2 linked regions of the Oryctolagus cuniculus genome follow. The protein of the gene in region 1 binds, or shares a complex with, the protein of each later gene. Links are inferred from orthologs where the notes say so. Each region holds a gene or a part of one and is shown in the gene's direction. Other genes may lie near its edges.

Evidence for each region. The genes of interacting proteins can lie anywhere in the genome.
Region 2: the proteins of RALGAPA2 (region 1) and NKIRAS1 are in contact, whole or in part, in a crystal structure (PDB 9QU1), measured with the Homo sapiens proteins. The link is inferred for Oryctolagus cuniculus from reciprocal best matches to the Homo sapiens genes RALGAPA2 and NKIRAS1. Residues at the interface, in NP_065076.2 of Homo sapiens: Pro20, Lys21, Tyr51, Ser52, Gln53, Phe56, Tyr59, Glu60, Ile63, Arg99, Phe102, Arg103, Trp104, His105, Tyr106, Gln107, Ser108, Lys185, Ile186, Tyr187, Pro188, Glu189; in NP_001364280.1 of Homo sapiens: Lys6, Glu22, Leu24, Leu25, Tyr26, Glu34, Met39, Glu40, Asp41, Val42, Tyr43, Met44, Ala45, Ser46, Val47, Glu48, Lys54, Gln56, His58, Tyr60, His74, Tyr75, Ser77, Phe78, Lys108, Thr162.

The regions. Positions count from the first base shown.
Region 1 is NC_091442.1:45,073,441-45,076,940, reverse strand, and holds part of RALGAPA2 (ral GTPase-activating protein subunit alpha-2), read left to right. Parts: intron 1-3,391; coding exon 3,392-3,500.
Region 2 is NC_091435.1:159,791,455-159,794,954, reverse strand, and holds part of NKIRAS1 (NF-kappa-B inhibitor-interacting Ras-like protein 1), read left to right. Parts: intron 1-2,688; coding exon of another isoform or gene 2,689-2,737; coding exon 2,738-2,980; 3' UTR 2,981-3,500. UniProt on the Homo sapiens protein: Atypical Ras-like protein that acts as a potent regulator of NF-kappa-B activity by preventing the degradation of NF-kappa-B inhibitor beta (NFKBIB) by most signals, explaining why NFKBIB is more resistant to degradation.

The DNA.
Region 1 (3,500 bases):
GCAGACAGAAGAGAAAGGTCTTCCATCCACTGGTTCACTCCCCAGATGGCCACAATGGTCGGAGCGGCACCGATCCGAAGCCAGGAACCAGGAGCTTCTTCCAAGTCTCCCACATGGGTGCAGGGGCCCAAGGACTTGGGCCATTTTCTACTGCTTTCCTAAGCCATAGCAGAGAGCTGGATGGGAAGTAGAGCAGCCAGGACTTGGGCACATATGGGATGCTGGCCCTGCACACTGGGACTTTAACCCGCTGTGCCATAATACTGGCCCCGGCATGCACACTCTTGATAAGTGGATACATTTTGTTAAGCATGAAAAGGAAAAATAAAGACCTTTTACAAAATGTGTATATTTAAGGATTTTTTTTTCACTCAGTGTCATAGTTTATCATTCATAACAAAGCTATTTATAGCCAGGTAGTTTCTGATAAGCAGCATTATACTTTAATCTATTTTTATGATCCTCTTTTAGACCATTAGTTACTATTTGATATAATTACTACTTTCAGATGGATACTTAAAAAAGATTATGGAAAATGGAATCAAAAGATACGTTTAGGGCCTGCTGCTGTGGTGTAGAAAGTTAAACCTCCTCCTGCAACACCGGCATCCCACGTGAGCGCTGATTTGAGTCCCTGCTACTCCACTTCCAGTCCAGCTCCCTGTTAATGGCCTGGGAAAGCAGCAGAATGTGATCAAGTCCTTGAGCCCCTGTACCCATGTGGGAGACCCGGAAGAAGCTCCTGACTCCTGACTTTGTATTGGCCCAGCTTTGGCCATTGCTGCCATTTGGGGAGTGAACCAGCAGATGGAAGATCTCTGTCTCTCTCTTTCTCTCTCTGTATTTCTGCCTTTCAAATAAATAATCTTTTTTTAAAAAAGATAAGTTTATTTTGGTGGAGAAAATTTCAAATACACGCATAATTCTTTCATTATGTGCATTTTTATGAAATTTTTGAGAATCTTTTATTCAATTTTCTTAAAAACACCAAAAAAACTATCTTTTCATTCTATTTCCCAAGGACTTTTTGAAGTGTCCTTCTAAAGTCCCAAGTAAGAGACACAGTCAACCAGCCAAGGTGGCTGCTAACTCTGCTCCTAGTGTGCAGGTTGCTTATCTCAGATACCTAACTGCTTACAGAGAAGATGGGGGGAGCTTTCAGAACTGACAGTGAGAAGCTTAAACATGCTACCTTCGTATCTCATCCCCAAATGAAGACAAGCAAGGATCCTAGGAGTCAATTCTTTCAGTTTGTGGATGTCACGAACTCGTTTTTCATGAATGGGGTCCAGACTTCCTCTTCATGTTTCAGGGAATCTGCAGGCAGTCGATTCACCCAGCATCTGTCCAGGAAGAACAGTTATATTTCACAAATGTGCCTTTTCCTGACTTTTTAGTACCAGAGATATTTGGGGCTTTTACTGGGCACGGTTGTGGTTTATGATCTGATTAAGTAAGACTCCAGACTAGTTTCCCATTATAGACTTAAAACACGTCCCTCAAATGCATCTGTATTTATGTCAGATTGAAAGGACAACCTGTGTGAGTAAAAGTACGGGAAGGTTGATTCTCTAATTGTTATGTTCTGCCTGGGGCCTTTTTCAAATTGGACCTTTATCATTAGAGTTTTACAGCCTGCTCTGCCCTGTCGTCCAGAGGAGGTGTTTTACATATGAACTCAGCCAACCCCTGGCTAGCTTCACATTTGCTATTTGGGGCATTACTGTTTCTTAGCATTGGCATTAAATTTGTACATTAAATTTCTTAGTTGTGTGGAAATGATACCAGCTTCTACTCAAGGTGAGGAAGAAAAGTTTAATTTCAGAGACAGAGGTAGATGACCTTCTTTGCTTCTTAAAATGAGCTTCTTGATATGAAATTTCATTTTGAATGAATTGGATGCAGGTGATTTCTTGTTCATTGACAGGAAAAAATTTAAAAATCCGAGAAAACTCAGGACTGTCTCATTCTCAGTAATTGCACAGGATTAGCTTGAGACTGAAGTGTGTTGTTTCTTTGTAAGATTTATACATCATAACATTGATGTGTTATAAATAAAGCAATTGGACTTTTAATGTCTAAGAGGGATGATTAGTATGAAAAAGCGTATTTACAATTATGTTTTAATTAGCATTTTGCTTTTCATGTTTGGAGTTTAGAAACCAATTATTTCCTAAAGCTTTAAGCTCAAATTATAAAACTTAATTTATTTAAGTTATCTAGTGATTTCTTTTATTAAAACTAAAGGTTTTGTTTTTACCTCTTCTTAGGTTAATGTATAATACTTCTATTAATTTGGCAGATTAAAATTTCTCTAACTTCTACTCTTAAGCTTAAGTAGTCATTTCAACCCATACATGAAGATTTAGTTTATCTGCTTCTCCTGAATACCTAATTTTGCAAGGTCTACTTATACATACTGTTGTCAGAGTCTTTTCATGTATTTTGTATAAAAATAAAAACAATATTTCCTTATATTTTGTACAAAATAATTTCCATAGTTTTGTAAATCACTTGCTCTTGGGTATTTAATCATCAGCTACAAATTAGTTAAAGCCTTCTAAGTATTTCCATTAGTCATTAATACTGTCAGATTCTCTTAAATATTTAAAATGCCCTAACAACCAAACATGAATTGTCCCAACGATTATTAAGCAAATTGCTTCAAATGTATTTAAGCTGTCATAGGGTTGATTCATTTTCTTCTCAGCTGCACATCTGCCCCACTGAAGAGAGCCAGGTGACTTCTCCGGCCTACCCCTGTGTCTTCTCCAGAGCTCTTTAAGGATCTGGGCTTTCATTCTTTCCTTATCTACTGTACACATTTTTAAATGTGCCTTGCAGGATCGGCATTGTGACACAGCAGGTTAGGCCGCAGCCTGTGACGCTGGCATCCTAGTTGAGCATAGATTCCAGCCCCGGTTGGTCCACTTCTGATCAGCTCCCTGCTAATGTGCCTGGGAAAGCAGTGGCAGGTGGCCCAAGTTCTTAGGTCTCTGCCACCTACATGGGAGACCCAGATGGAGTTCTAGTGTTCTGGCTTTAGCCTGCCCCAGCCCCAGATGTTCACTCTGGGAAGTGAACCAGCAGATGAAGATCTGTCTGTCTCTCTCTCTGTAGCTCTGTCTTTCGAATAAATAAACCTATTAAAAAAAAAAAAAGTCCCTTTCAGGAAGAAATCCTCACATATGTTGAGTTTTTCTAAAACACTTTATTTAAATTGCTTTTAAATTCAAATAGAACTAGTGTCAAAAAGAAAATATATGGGGGAAAAAAAAACACAGGCTGAAGAAACAATGTTCCAAGTACAAACTGGAGTTTGGTGGTGGTGGTCTGAGTTTTCATGCTGCTTCTCCAGTGTCTCTCTATGCTCTGTTCCTTGTGCTGGCAGAGAAGAAGAGGAGGAGCGTGGAGCTGATCCCCCTGACTGCCCGGATGGTGATGGCGCACCTGGTGAATCACCTGGGGCACTACCCACTCCACGGAGGCCCCGCCATGCT
Region 2 (3,500 bases), on another chromosome or scaffold:
GGAGGATGGCCCAAGTGAATGGGCTCCTGCACCTGTGTGGGAGACCCAAAAGAAGCTCCTAGCTCCTGCCTTTGGATCGGCCCAGCTCCAGCCGTCATGGCCCTTTGGAGAGTGAACCAGCAGATGAAAGATCCTTCTGTCTCTCCCTCTGTCTTCAACTCTACCTCTCTAATAAATAACTTTAAAAAAAAAAAAAAAAAGGCTAAAGACTAGGAATTGGGTAGTTTCATATTGAATATGAAGGTCATATTCATATTGAATATGAATTTGGAGGTCTGGACCCAAAGCCATTTTAGTAGTGTAGTGAGGTGAAGTCTGATGGAGTGGCCGTAAGAGAATGGAATGCAGGAGACACAGCTTTGCTATAAAGGAGGACAGAAAGGACCTGGAGAAGGAGACGTGGAAATGTTTATTTGTGAGGGCCAACAGTGTCAGGGTGCTCGTGGGAGGGATTCCGAGGGGAGGAGAAAGCTGATGATGGGGTGGTGTCGTTGTCCAGGTAAGACGCTGGGTTTGGGAGCAGAGTGGAGCAGGCTGGGAGAGGGCAGGTTGTGACATGGAGTGGTGGAAGCACTTGGATGTCCTTTTCAGTTTCCTCACTGAGATAGTGTGGCGGTCAGTGGACGGGAGGGAAGGTGGGAGAGGAAGCAGAGGTTTCGGAGCTTGGAGAAGGGGCTGAGAGAGACGCTGCCCAGTTCCGGAGTCGGCAGAGACAATGCGTAGGTTTGCTGGGGGAGTGCCAGCTCATTCGAGGCCAGTGGTCATCCACTGGGACCAGCCAACAGGGTTGTGTGTTTTCTCCAGCCCCATCCAGCGGAGTAGTGTGGGCCAAGTCTGGTTAAGAACGTAACGGGGGATGGCTTTTGCCAGGTGAATACGATGGGATAGTGGGGGCAAAAGAGGTCGGTGAAGAGGCACTGGGGACATGAGCAGAAAGGAAGGAGAGTGATGGGGGCTGGCGTGCGTGCTTGTGGTGCAGTTGGAGGGTTAGGCACGAGGGGTCATAGGGCTGCCTGGGATTGAGATCTCATGGGTCTATGGCCATACCACCCTGAACACGCCCGATCTCGTCTGATCGCAGAAGCTAAGCCAGGTTGGTTCTGGTTAGTACTTGGATGGGAGATCTCATGGGGGCTCAGCTGAGGTCTGGGATGTGACTGGCTGAGCTAAGGATGGTTAAGCCCACTGGAGGAGTCAAAGGACTGAGCCCCCGGATACTCGAAGTGCCACCCACGTGTCTGGTATGATTATTAGGAATGTGACCAATGGCAGGGGTGTCCATTTGTGATGGGCCAGCAATGGGCTGGGGGGTGGGGGAGTGGGCGGGGAACATCTTACAGCTACAGTAGCCTAGTAGCTCCAGGCTTCCACTGGGGCTTTTAGGGAAGGACATTGTTGGAGGCAGCATTTTGAGGGTCAAGGACACCTTAACATCCCTGGCCCCCAATTTGGTGCTAGAAGTGTAAGGTGGGGAGAATGGGCTTGTAGAGCTGAACTGGGCAAGACAGATGGGTGCAGTGGGAGTGGGCATTCTGCCAAATTCTAGAGGGCAAAGTGTTAGTTTCTGTTGTTGGGGAGGAGGAGGTGGAAGTCAGACAAGGGGGTGTACATGCGATGTGAGTCCGAGTGGTGACAGGCTTGAGGGCACAGCCCCTGCTTTGAGATGGAGGACGAGATTTACTGGGACAACCAGCACCGTGGGGCCGCTCTTTCACGCTGCCCTGCGGAGCTCAGCAAGACTTGAATTGGAGGGAGGAACATGGCGGCACCCGGCATCTCCACCCCAGCTGCGCCTCAGGGGTCCTCTGAGTCCGGTGGTCTTTTGCTGCCCCATCCCGTGCCCTTCCGTACGGTCACTTCCTGGGCTTACCTCTTCTGCTGTGGCCCTGGGCACCTGGACTATGTTGTGATTGCTGTGCTCTGGTCACCTGACCCTGTGCCTGGGAAGCATTCCTGTTTAACTGGATGACTGGTATTTAGCACTGTCGGCCCGCACATTCAATACACATTTAGCAGGCACTTTTCTAGACTGGGAACAATGTGAACACACAAAATGCCTGTGGGGGCCGGCGCTGTGGCACAGGTTAAGCCTCCACCTAGGGTGCCGGCATCCCATATGGGTGCCGGTTCTAGTCCTGGGTGATCCTCTTCCAATCCAGCTCTCTGCTGTGGCCTGGGAAAGCAGTGAAAGATGGCCTAAGTGCTTGGGCCCCTGCACCCACGTGAGAGACCTGGAAGAAACTCTAGGCTCCTGGCTTTGGATTGGTGCAGCTCTGGCCGTTGCGGCCAGTTAGGGAGTGAAGCAGCACATGGAAGGCCTCTCTCTGTCTCCCCCTGTCTGAAGCTCTACCTCTCAAAGTAAAACAAACCAAAAGCCTGTGTTCATGGAGACTCCCTTCTAGGGGTTCAGAACTCTCAGTGCCAGGTGTATTTTTATTGACGTTTGAAGCCCCGTATTGCAGAATCTCTCAGACCTCAAGTATGGCCACACAGAAACCACTGCTCACATCTTAGATGTTAATTTCCCCTTTCATTCACAGTGGAGGTGAGCACCCCATACGTGTCTGCATTTTTAACAAAAATGTGTTGAGGGAGGAGGGTCGTTGCCTCTTACTCCCAGTGCCATCTGAGAATCCATTCTGCGAAGCAGTAACTGAACAGCTTTCCTCATTCCTCCGTTCTGCATAGGAACTGTGGGTGGCGGAGTACCGGTGCCATCTTTTCCATTTTCCTTCAGGTAGCGATCGTCGTGTTAGGAAACAAGACCGACCTTTCGGAGCAGAGACAAGTGGACGCTGAGGTGGCGCAGCAGTGGGCCAGGAGTGAGAGGGTGAGGCTGTGGGAGGTGACCGCCACTGACCGCAGGACGCTCATCGAGCCCTTCATGCTGCTGGCCAGCAAGCTCTCCCAGCCCCAGAGCAAGTCGGGCTTCCCTCTGCCTGGGCGGAAAAACAAAGGCAACTCCAGCTCTGAGAACTAGACGTCACCCCGTGCAGCGCCGACTGCATCATACAGAGATGAAGGTTTAAAACAGGTCATTGGTACCTACCTTTGGTCCTTGGGAAACCCCTAAGGAAGTAATGTGCTGCACTTTAGGCTGTAATTAAATTCTTTTGGCTACGTTTATTACTATTGCTTGATATGAAATTTTCTCATTCTTGCATTATAAAACCTGTCCCTGAAATTAGCACCTGTTATGTATATTGCTTTGTCAAAACAGTAAAATAAGGTTTGGATAGTATGTAACTGCAATGTATGTAACTCCTCCCCTCCCCCACACTATTTCAGAAGCTGGCAAACTCATTTTATGGAACTAAACTACTTTTTTAAAGATTGAGGGGGTCGGCGCTGTGGCACAGCAGTTAAAGCCACTGCCTGCAGTGCTGGCATCCCATACAGGTGCTGGTTTAAGTCCTGGCTGCTCTACTTCTGATCCGGCTCTCTGCTATGGCCTGGGAAAGCAGCAGAAGATGGCCCAAGTCCTGGGCCTCTGCACCTGC